Tribolium castaneum: one gene and its partners. The protein of the gene in region 2 purifies or fractionates together with the protein of the main gene of each other region. This does not show direct contact. Links are inferred from orthologs where the notes say so. Each region holds a gene or a part of one and is shown on either strand. Other genes may lie near its edges.

Evidence for each region.
Region 1: the proteins of Ref1 (region 2) and regulator of nonsense transcripts 1 purify together in Homo sapiens (co-immunoprecipitation; 3 studies listed by BioGRID and IntAct, with this or other methods). This does not show direct contact. The link is inferred for Tribolium castaneum from reciprocal best matches to the Homo sapiens genes ALYREF and UPF1.
Region 3: the proteins of Ref1 (region 2) and P32 purify together in Homo sapiens (affinity purification with mass spectrometry; 3 studies listed by BioGRID and IntAct, with this or other methods). This does not show direct contact. The link is inferred for Tribolium castaneum from reciprocal best matches to the Homo sapiens genes ALYREF and C1QBP.

What each region holds. Positions count from the first base shown.
Region 1 is NC_087397.1:527,767-531,939, reverse strand, and holds the start of regulator of nonsense transcripts 1, read right to left. Parts: upstream 2,865-4,173; 5' UTR 2,532-2,864; coding exon 2,352-2,531; intron 2,300-2,351; coding exon 2,072-2,299; intron 2,028-2,071; coding exon 1,848-2,027; intron 1,802-1,847; coding exon 1,589-1,801; intron 1,537-1,588; coding exon 1,145-1,536; intron 734-1,144; coding exon 1-733. Other genes in the region: sodium channel protein Nach, read left to right, coding at 3,775-3,894, 3,945-4,105, 4,152-4,173. UniProt on the Homo sapiens protein: RNA-dependent helicase required for nonsense-mediated decay (NMD) of aberrant mRNAs containing premature stop codons and modulates the expression level of normal mRNAs.
Region 2 is NC_087395.1:19,979,771-19,982,833, forward strand, and holds Ref1 (THO complex subunit 4), read right to left. Parts: upstream 1,810-3,063; 5' UTR 1,698-1,809; coding exon 1,515-1,697; intron 1,410-1,514; coding exon 986-1,409; intron 911-985; coding exon 813-910; 3' UTR 570-812; downstream 1-569. UniProt on the Homo sapiens protein: Functions as an mRNA export adapter; component of the transcription/export (TREX) complex which is thought to couple mRNA transcription, processing and nuclear export, and specifically associates with spliced mRNA and not with unspliced pre-mRNA.
Region 3 is NC_087394.1:7,764,701-7,768,915, forward strand, and holds the start of P32 (complement component 1 Q subcomponent-binding protein, mitochondrial), read right to left. Parts: upstream 2,910-4,215; 5' UTR 2,814-2,909; coding exon 2,612-2,813; intron 2,567-2,611; coding exon 2,416-2,566; intron 2,369-2,415; coding exon 2,175-2,368; intron 1-2,174. Other genes in the region: Nop60B (H/ACA ribonucleoprotein complex subunit 4), read left to right, coding at 3,933-3,945, 4,102-4,215.

The DNA of each region.
Region 1 (4,173 bases), on a different chromosome or scaffold from region 2:
CAACTGACAATGATCACCAACCAAAATCAATTGTTTCACTCCTAGTACCACCGGTACCATACATTCGGGTTCAGTCGCTTGCATACTTTCATCAATCAGAATCGAATGAAATTTCAAACGAACCAATCGTGGATCACCTGCCCCCACACAAGTACAACAAATAACATCGGCAGCTTCGAGTAATTCTTTCTCAGCCAATTTTTTCAACATTCTGTATCGTTTCTCATCAACTGAACTCAACTCTCCAGTCTCATCTTTCAACTGTTGCAACTTCTGGAGTTCAGTATTGGCTTCCATTTTACGTATCTGATTATGCAATGCAAGAAAACTCACAGGCGAATCAATCGCTTCGCGTGATTTCGCACACAATCTTACAACTTTTAGATTAGTTTTGTGAATTTTTTCGGTAAGTTGGTCAACTGCCGTATTACTGGGAGCACAGACTAGGACTGGACCGCCGTTTTGTTTCACCAATTGATAGACGATGGTGGCGGAAGTTACGGTTTTTCCCGTTCCGGGAGGACCTTGGATGAGGGAGAGTGGACGCTGGAGGGCATGTTTGACGGCGTAGACTTGCGAACGGTTCAAGTCGGGAAGATTAGGTGCCGAAAAATGTTTAGGGAGGTGACAACGGAAAAGGACCTCTTCGACCTCGTGGCCGAGGAGGCGGTGGTAGATGTAGGCGGAAACGGATGTATCGTCAACGGCGAATTTTCGCAAGGCGAGTTGCATCCTGCAATTAACAATAAAGGCGAGCTCAGAAAAAAACGACGTGAAAACTTGTTTTCACATAATTATTTTTTTAATTAAATATTCTTAGAAACCTTATAAAAAAATTACCACATTAATATAGCTTGAAATATCAACGCTTAAAATTAACATCTTACAAAGATTTTTTTAACATTCGGAAATAAGAAGTGAAAATGCGTCACTTCTCTCATGCTTTTTTTTTAATTACTGTGATTTTTAAAATAAAGTTTGATTGTAATATTATACTTATATTTAATGTGAAAGTTTATAACAATGGTACTTTCAACGTTTGACTACTAACAGTAAAACATTAATTAAAAAAATAAATAAAAAATGTGATACATAAAGAGATTAACGTGATTATTTCTGTTTCTATCACAACAACGAAATTTACCTGTCAAAACTGGTACTTTTCCAAATGAAATCCACCACAAAGTTGCTGTTACAATCGGTGGGAGCCCCATTTCCGTTCTTCAACTCAATGCCAATATCCTCTCCGTAATTATCAGGAACTTTGATAACGTGTCCCACCCCCGCCCATGATTTATGCATTTCTCCCACGTATCTAAGTCTCAACTCATCTCCGTGCATTAATTTCATATCCCCGTCAGTTTTAGCAAGAGTAAAATACGCAATTGTTTTCTTATTCAAACCCACATCCCACCTAACTTCAATATTTTCCTGAGTCTGAGACTCCTTCAATCTTTTATCATAATCAGCTTCAAGCTTAACAAGAGGACCAAAAATGTTTTGGTACTGATAACCGTCCTCATATCGCAATAAAACCTACCAAAAAAAATTATAATAAATACGTTAGAACTGTGCAAACAAGACTAACTTGTTGCGGTTCTTCGTCAACTCCTGGCCGTTCCAAATCCTGGAACGTGGCATCAACATTATCTTTCCAAAGTTCTTCAAGTTTGTTGATTTGTTGGGCTGAGATTTGGCGCGCTCGCAGTTGTTCCTGTTCTGATGGTATTTTTACAAGCCATGTGAGAAAACACCGGTCGGTAATGAGTGGTTTCCATTGGTCTTGATCCCAGTTCATGTCCTATTAAAAGCTTGAAAACTGTCCTATTTTAAAAGCAATGACTTACTTTAAGTGAGTTTTGGGCGGCACAAGGTTGGCGGCAAAGTAGCACCACAACAGAGTCAGCTTTGGCAGGAATGAACCCCAAAACAAAAACATTGCGGACGCCACAACTGTAACATTCAAGGATTGTCTCGCCCAAAGGGCCGTCCTTGTGTAAGGTCACTTCCTTGTGTTTGGCTCGGACCTAAACCCCAATCAAAAAACAGTTTCCAAGTTGAAATTCCTCACCAAATGGTTGATTATGTGGCTTCCTGAGGTGTTTCCTCTCCCGTTACAAAACCACTTTTTGCAGCAGTTGCACATGACAACGCAATTCGGCTCATGAATGCCGCAGTACTTGCACGCGTAGTTCGGGAGCTCCTTGCTGTTGAAATACTCCTCATCCTCTTCCTCGAATTGCAGTTCCCCTAAAGCACTCGTCGCATTGGCGATTTTGTTGTTGATGTTGTTGTTGAGCTAAAACAACAACGTCATACGACACTGAACCAGGGGGCGACCTTGCACTAACCTGTACACCGGAAACTTTGGGGCCCGCGTGGTCGTGCTGCGAGGCTTGCGTTTGCGATGGAATTGTGAAATCGGTGAATTCGCATTCGGATCCTTGGGTGTCAGCCCCGATCAAGTCGTTTTCTTCGGTCTCTAAAAACGTGAGAGTTTGCGAACTGGGGCCGTATGCGTCGACACTCATCTTGGAGATTTCGTCGCGAACGAATTGAAGCACGGGTTTATTCACGTTTACTGATGAAACACTTTTAACACTTCAATTGATGACAACTCGACTATGGTTACTTTAAAATTTCTACATTTTTCTCCTGGCAAGCGCCATATTTTCCTGATTAATCATTTGTTTTTTTATCGTCATTTCTCTTTCCGAAGCATAATTGACGGAGCGGGAAACTTAAACACTCGTGCTATCTTTTTCAGTTTTTAGCGCACTGATCTTTTTTATGGCCTCAAAATTAAAAAGTGGTTTAGGAAATAGATTATTGCACAACCTTATTGTCTAATTTAATCCCTAAGCTTTTTTTCGTTGGTTGGCACGGTGTTATCATTGTGGTTACCATCTTATCGGAGTGAGACACGTATCGCAATCTTTTAAGTTAAAGAGAGATAAGCATATGTTTGATTGTAGAAGTGGCTAAGGCTGCGTCACTTTATGATTTGATTTTTCACTTTTTTGTAAATTTTACATTTAAACATTATTTTTATTATAAAATTATAGCATAAAGTTTATTGATTTTTCGGTTTTTATTCAACATTCAACACATGACTGCAAAAAAGAGGCATATCAAAATAAAAAAAACACATTTTTCAAAAACAGCCGATTTTTCAGTGAAATTTTATCGGTAATAAGTCAAAAACATAAAATGATGTTCGTTTTAAAAGAACGTAAATTTACGAATGTTTTTGTCGAAATAAATAAAACTAAAAAACGTAATAAGTTTATTGAGTAGATGACCAATAAAACAACTGAGCATTTGGTTTTGCCTACCTAATTATTAAATTAAAAATGGACGAAAAATGGCGAAATTATTATGATTTATGATTATTGAATTTGATATTGCTATTACAAACTTTATCCATAAAAATAGAACGTGGACTCAATAAAAACATTATCAAGAAATGACTGTATTTTATTAAATTAATAGAAATCACACATGCTCTTTATTACAACTGGCACTCCTTATTTTTTAATTCTTCTCATGTTTAAGTAGCTTGCGGTTACTTAAATGCTCACGTATCATTCTGGTTTCCCACAGATACATAATAAATATTACGATGATATAATTGATAGTTTGAAAACTGTTAACTTTTTATTAGGTTTTTGTACAGCGACAATTCAACACATCTATTAATAATTTATTAAAGTTTTACTGCATTATGACCCAACTCATAAATAGTATTGATTACAAATTCCCAACTACACTACAATGAGTATTGTTACAAAATATTTCTTAAACACGTCTCTACATGGCTTGCATTTCATAGCTGATAAGAGATTCCACTGGACTGAAAGATTTTTTTGGACAATATGTGTCCTAACTTCTTGGGTAAATCCCACAAATCGTCAAATTTTTACCACAATAAAATAGATTCACAGGCCGCATCGATTATGCTAATGTTTAACGCACTAGACCAGTATCAAAACCAAAAAATATCCTTTTCAGTGGACACATCTTACTTAAATTGGCAAACAAACTTTCCTTCAATTGTTATTTGCGAACGATCAAATCCAAAAAAAATGCTCGAAGCTAACAAGAAGTAAGTTAATTGTGATTTTCTTTGTTATAACTCTCTCTGCTCGAAGAATTTTCGGTTCCATATCTCAA
Region 2 (3,063 bases):
GTTGAATTATAGGAACTAAGAAAACTTAATGTAATTTAATTTTGATACAAAATTGTGAACATTACAAGCAGCCACAAGACAGCTCAGTTACTATAATTATTAATCTTACACTGTTGCTTAATAAATTATTATTTTCTTTTAGTATTCTTTATTGATGAAAATTACGTTGAGTGCACTCGCTTCGATTGGATGTACTTTTTGTAATTTGTTTTGTCGTATATTTAGTAATATAAACCCTAAACGCAAGTTCTCACGGACCCACTTTAGTTGTTCAATTAAAGATGAAAATTTTTAATGGAAATCATCGTAAAAAACTTGATCCACTTAAGACACAACAAAGATTCTGACGATGATTTTTGTTGAAGTTTTATTGTTCAACTTGAAATAAACGACTAAAATCGATCCGTGTCAACGTGCCTTTAGCGACAACTGTTACAAGATTTATTATGGTTTTAAATCAAGATTGAAGGCGATTAATTTTTTATACAACTCGGTCTTAACGTCATGTGATACATTTGGCTGATGCAGTTTTATGTATAAATAAAAAAAATTTCTAATGAAACGACAAGTCACACTTAATTCTTATTTATTCCTATCAATACAATTTACATTAACAAGAGAAAACAGCCTAACACTAGATTTAGTTGTGGAAAAAACGAACCGCATACGTAATCCTCGTACTTTAGTGGTTATTTTTTATAAAATGTAAGGCTCGATGTTACAATCAAAATACAAAATAAAAATACGAAAGAACTAAACACAAGTCACAAAAAGTGGCGCGTTGAGCGTCTCTGATATTAATAGCACTTATTTTATTTCATCTCCTTGGTGTAGGCGTCTAATTCAGCGTCGAGTTCTTCAGCTGTCGGTTGTTTCTTTTGATTTCTGAAACTTCGTCCTCCTCCACGACCTGGCAAACAAACATTTGTTTAGTTGAAAAATCCGGCTGTTGGAGGCGTCGCCGCCGCTGGTCAAGTAATTGTACCTCTGTTAGGTCGTCCCTTGGCAGGTGCAGCCCCTCTTCTGCTTTGGAACTTCCTCTCTCCCGTGGGCCTCCTGACCGGCGACGGAATCTCCGACGTGATGATTTGAATGTTCATGGCGCGTCCGTCGAGAGGCACTCCGTTGTACTGCTTCATGGCCTTAATAGCGTCGGTGCGCCTTTCGAAAATCACATCAGCGGTGCCGAGCGACCGCCCCGAGCGGTCATAGTGCACCGAGGCGCTCTTTAGCGGCCCAAACTCGGCGAACAATTCCTGAATATCCGAGTCGGAGACCGCAAAGTCTAAATTGCCCACCATGAGCTTAGTGGGGCCCACATTGGACTGCACAACGGCCCGAGCCGCGGCCACTTTACGCGGGCCGTAGCCCTCGAACAGATCGTGCTTCCAAGCACTGTTCACATCTCCCTAAACAAACATGGATGGGGGTAAATTCCGGCTCTCCGGCTGGATGCACGCTAGCCGCTTCCATCGCGGGGCAGCTTAAGTATAAACATAGTTAGAAACAATTACCCGGGTGTACTGGCGCGTTATTCCTCCGCGTCCTCGGCCCCTTTGGACGCCGCCGGCTCTTCGGAACGTGCCGCGTCTTGGCGCGCCACCCCCGCGGGTTCCGCCGCGACCTCCGCGACGGCCGCCGCGCCGGGGCTTGGATTTTATTATCTCATCTAAACTCATTTCAATTGTGTCGACCATTTTTACTGATTTTGTACGCTGATTTGACTGAGAAATTCACTTTTTCTACACCCGGCGGCAACGCACACAACCAACGACAAAATGGCGTACAAAATGAACGACAGACGCTGTGCGCATGCGCCACGTCACTGCGCTGTCGGCAACACAGGAACCTGCCCGGATTTTACCAAAAAAAAATACGACCGCATGTATTAGGCAATTTTTTGCATTTTCAGCATAATACAGAAACAAAGAATAAAAACTTATTTTTATGTTTATGAAATAGGTAACCTATTTACACCAATGTAAAAACACCGCTGTATTATTGGTTCCCTATACATTCAATTTTTTTCAAACTTTGTTCTACCAGTTTATGTAGGTAGGTATTTGTAAATGAAATTTTGTTCTTCTACCTAATGTATGTTAAAATATTGTCAATACAAAACAGATGTTTATTTATATTGACTCATTAACACATTTTAGTGTTTGAAGAATCTTTGGCAGAATTGAAATATTGTGTAATGTTAGACTTTCTTTATTTGATCCATTAAAAGTAAAAAAAATCAAATGTGAACACGTTTAAATTTAAAAGAAATTTAAAAAATGTAATAAAAAAATATTAATTTAATTTAAAAATTCCAACAAAACAAACACTCACGCGAAAACGTTTAAAGTTCTCGGGTGTATATTATGTAACTCGCATACGCTCGTTTGCTCAAATCACCGTCTGTTAGTCATATAAACTTTGGGAAAAGTACTCAAAAGACGCAATCCCAATTTCCTAGTTGATATTGCGTTTCTGATTAATTTTTAGACGCTGAAGTGAAAGTTTCAACCTCTAATATCCCAAAAAATAATAAAAGTTTGGATTAAGTAGTTAATTACACAGTAATTAGATGTCAAAACACAAAAAATATTTATTTTTAGTTAGTTAATAATTTGTTCATCAGTTAACACTTCTCTATTATATTAAATACTTACTATCAACCCCGACATATTTCTCAAAATTCTGTGAAAAGTTCGTTATGAACGGAAAACTAGTTCGTTTTATCCGTAAGTTCTCCACCACTGAAGTTTAATCCTGAATTAAATTTTATTTGGCTTTGTACAGTAACTAGTCCCTAAGACTATAAATTTAGTTAATTAATTATTATATTGATTTTTTTAATTAATTAATATTTATTGTAAGGAATTGTAGAATAATCCTGAAAAAAATCACATGCACAGAGAAAACTGTAAAGCACCAGATGATCCTAACATATTTTTGATTTTATAGTTTTATTGGGTTATATACAAAAATACATTCACTGAGATTAAAGATCTCAGCATAATAATTTAAAGGATCGGTTGAATCCTGAGAGGTTTTTTTAATTTTACTCGTGTTAAT
Region 3 (4,215 bases), on a different chromosome or scaffold from region 2:
GCATGTAAGCGCGTTTCTGAGATAAAACCTTAATCTGTTTGCGAGTTTTCCGTATAATTGGACACAAAAATCGCAAAAGGTAAAAAATGATATTATTTTTACCAATTTTAACCGTTTTATTAGTACGTTTTTCGACTAGAAATATACAATTATTTTTCAAAACGTAAGAAAAAACATCGGAAATCAATAAACTAGCCTGAAAATAACGTATTCTTTCTAAATTTCATTAAACTTGTAGCGTTTTTGGGAGTTTTAACAGTTTTTATAAACAAGAAACGCATTTATCTTGCAAAGTTAGTTACAAAGAAGTCGAAGGATTACCGAACAAAGCCAAAATTAGATCAAAATGACATAATTTTTACCATTTTAGCACGTTTCTCGACCAGAAATATTCAAAACAAAAGAAAAAAGTTGTGAAATCACTAAGTCAGCCTAAAAATAACGAAATTTCAATAGACTAAATAAAAAATAGACTGGTGATCACTGTAGCGTTTTTGGGAGTTTTAAAACACAGTTATCTCTCAAAATTTGGTCACAATGAAGCCGAAAAATTACCAAACAAAGCCAAAATTAGATCAAAATGACATTTTTTTACAAATTTTAACCATTTTAGCACGTTTTCAAACAAAAAATATACAATAATTTTTCAAAACGTTATAAGAAAAAGCTGGGAAATCACTAAATTAGTCTGAAAATAGCGTACTTTTGAGAAATTTCGCTAAACTGAATAAAAAAATAGACTGGTGATCATTGTGGTTTTTTAGAAGTTTTAAAAAGCAGTTATCTCAAAATTTGGTTACAAAAAAGCCGAAGAATTACCAAACAAACCCAAAATTAGGTCACAATGACATTATTTTTAGCAATTTTAACCATATTAGCACGTTTTTCGACCATAAATAACAATTATTTTTAAGAAAAAATATGAGAAATCAGTAAATTAGCCTGAAAATAGCTGAATAAACTGAATAAAAAATAGACTTGTGATCACTGTAGCGTTTTTGGGAGTTTTAAAACACAGTTATCTCTCAAAATTTGGTCACAATGAAGCCGAAAAATTACCAAACAAAGCCAAAATTAGATCAAAATGACATTATTTTTACAAATTTTAACCATTTTAGCACGTTTTCAAACAAGAAATATACAATAATTTTTCAAAACGTTATAAGAAAAAGCTGGGAAATCACTAAATTAGTCTGAAAATAGCGTACTTTTTGAGAAATTTCGCTAAACTGAATAAACAAATAGACCGGTGATCATTGTAGTTTTTTGGTTTTTGGAAGTTTTAAAAAGCAGTTATCTCAAAATTTGGTTACAAAAAAGAATTACCAAACAAAGCATCAGGTCAAAATGGCATTATTTTTAGCAATTTTAACCATATTGGCACGTTTTTCGACCATAAATAACAATTATTTTTAAGAAAAAAGATGAGAAATCAGTAAACTAGCCTGAAAATAGCGTGTTTTTTTCCGCAATTTCGCTAAACTGAATAAAAAATAGACGATCATTGTATTGTTTTTGGGAGTTTTAACAGGTTTTCTAGATTACAAACGCAGTTGTTTTGCAAAATTTAGTTACAAGAAGCCGAAGAATTGCAAAACAACGCCAAAAAGCAGTTTTTTTTTCGAATTACAATCCTCCAAAACTAGTTGAAAAAAACACCAAATCATACTGACCATGATATTCTATTTGAGATTGATTTCCTCGATTTCATTCTTAATTGAGCCAAAGACGCATTTATTTTGCACATTCTTGTCTAATTATTGCCTTTTTTTGAGCGTTTCAAAACGTTTTTTCGTCAAAAACTTAATTATTTCGAAGAAAATCGTCAAAAATTAACCAAAAAAGGATGTATTAGAGCTAAAATCCTAAAATCTTTCAGTAAGGTTAAAACATCCCAATTTTTTGCGTTTTCGGGGGATTTAGGACATTTTGTTGCGAAAAATAAGCCGAAAATTTGCTAAATCAGGTTGAACTTTTTTCAGCTAAGGGCTTAGTTTATTCCAAGATTTCGCATATCTTCACAAAAATGCTATCATATATGATTTTTTAGTGTTCGAAGCGTTTTTTAATCCTCTAAAACCGAATAAAATTATCACCAAATGGCGTTTCATTCGATTAGATTTTGAGCCGAAAGTTGTGCAAAATCTTGTGAATTAAAAACAGAAGTGTCTTACTAGAATCTTCCTCTTGCTCATCACTTTCTAAAAATGAGCACAAAACACTGAAAGTGGTCGACCCTCGCACAATTTCAATTCGAAATTCAGGCTTTGACTTTAATTCTCCAAATTCTGGATTGTCCATCGTCGAATCCACTTTAGGTAGTTCATCAGAGTCTACTGTGTGGTTCACATTGAAAGTAATTTTTATCCTAGAAGTTGCCACTTCATAACAAGAAATGAGACGCATTTGACTCACGTTTCATTTTCAACTTTTTTGTTCAAAGTGACTTCAGACCCGTTCAACCCCACTTTAAAACCCTCAAGCTCGGCTGGAAGCGTCACCGACTTCTGGGCCTTCCTCTCCAGGACAATCTCCTCAGTGAGAAACTCAACCAGTTCACGTTCGGCTACAAGTTTGTTATTCCTCCAACTTATTGGGCTCACTTACGTACCTTTACTGTGTGCATGCTGGTGCCTGCTCATGCACCCACAAGTGCACAACTTGCTCAGTTTGTTTTCGGACTCATTGCGATTGCACATGTACCAAAGATTGCGCGCAAGTTGCCGCTGCTGGAAAGTGTTGGACACTTTTTTAACCGGACTCAGGAGCGTCTTGAAGCTGAGTCTGGACGCAACTCGAAGCAAATTATTCATTTTTATACTTAGTTTAGGCGAAATGCGTGAAAAAACCGGCCACAACACGTGCTATCAAAAAAACTGTCAGAAAAAAGCGACGCGCAACCCAACGCTACGAAAATCCCCAGAATGGCACCAACCCACAAACGATAATCACTAAATCGTCACCAAATTCCTCATAGGGTTGCCACACCTGTCCGGTTTTCACCCAGATGATTGTCCGGTGTCCAGATAAAATGTTAAACCGGACAATAATTGGCCAGTTTTCTTATAGTAATTAAAATTTTGTGGTCTAAAATTAAAATTAATGAAAAATTTAGAAAACTCTTCGATAGAACGATTTTTAATATTTAAAAAAAATCCTGGATTGAATTGGAAAAATGTAGAGTAATCAACTTCTAAAAATTGAAATTACATTTTGCAAACGGGTTACCGTATATAATTTTGCAAAAAAAACAGCTATAGAAGGGTACTTACAGTTGCGTCATATGTTATATTTCTTCTAAAACTATTGGCATTTTTTTTTAAGTTTTGTAATTAACTAACACATTCTGAGTTATTTGCCAAAAAGTTCGTAAAACTTTGCTAGAGTGAGTTTAAATTTTTTTTCTTAATTTTTGTGAAGGTAAGTGCCTTGATTATTAAAATTTTGAGCAAAAAATTTCAAAATTTTAAATGAAATAAAAAATGGACAATAGACTTTTGGTTTTTGATAAATATTTTTTTAATGTAAAACTTTATATGCCTCTGTACCTGGAACCGTTGACCGAAGCGGCTCCGGGTTTTGGCAAGAAAATAGATAATTTTAGGCGCTATCTGATGCTTTTTTGATTTTAGTTCTAAGTCTCAGTGTTTCCGAAAAAAAACACAAAAAAAAAGATTGCAATTTTTACATTTTTTAAATTTTTAAACACCGATTACAGCGCATAAAAACGCCAATGTTTACCAAAATAAAATAAAAAAAATAAAAGAAAAATCGTTTAAGACTCTAAATAACCGAAAAAACATTTCCCGCCATTTATTTCATTTAAATTTTTTTCAGTAGCGCCACTTAAAATCTGTCAAAATTGTTGTTAGTTGTCAAAAAACTAACCCTACTTTCTGTGTCGGATGCACGTGTTGGTTATTTTCTAAGCGATGTCTGAGTTTGGTAAGTTATTGTTTATTATTATCTTTAACGAGGCTTTATTTCGTTCTTTGATAAATAATTAGTGGTAGAAATGTATTTAGAGTTTCAAAAATAATGATTTTTTTCAAAAAACCGGCCGCTTTGTCTTATCGTTATTTAGAACGCAATTTTGTGCAGAGGCGGATACGCCCGTTAGGGAGAAGAAAAAGAAGAAAAGCAAGGGCGACAAAGACTTGGGGAACCTTCAAAAAGGCTCCGAATTTGCAGTGGAGCCCTCCTCAGTGATTGCAA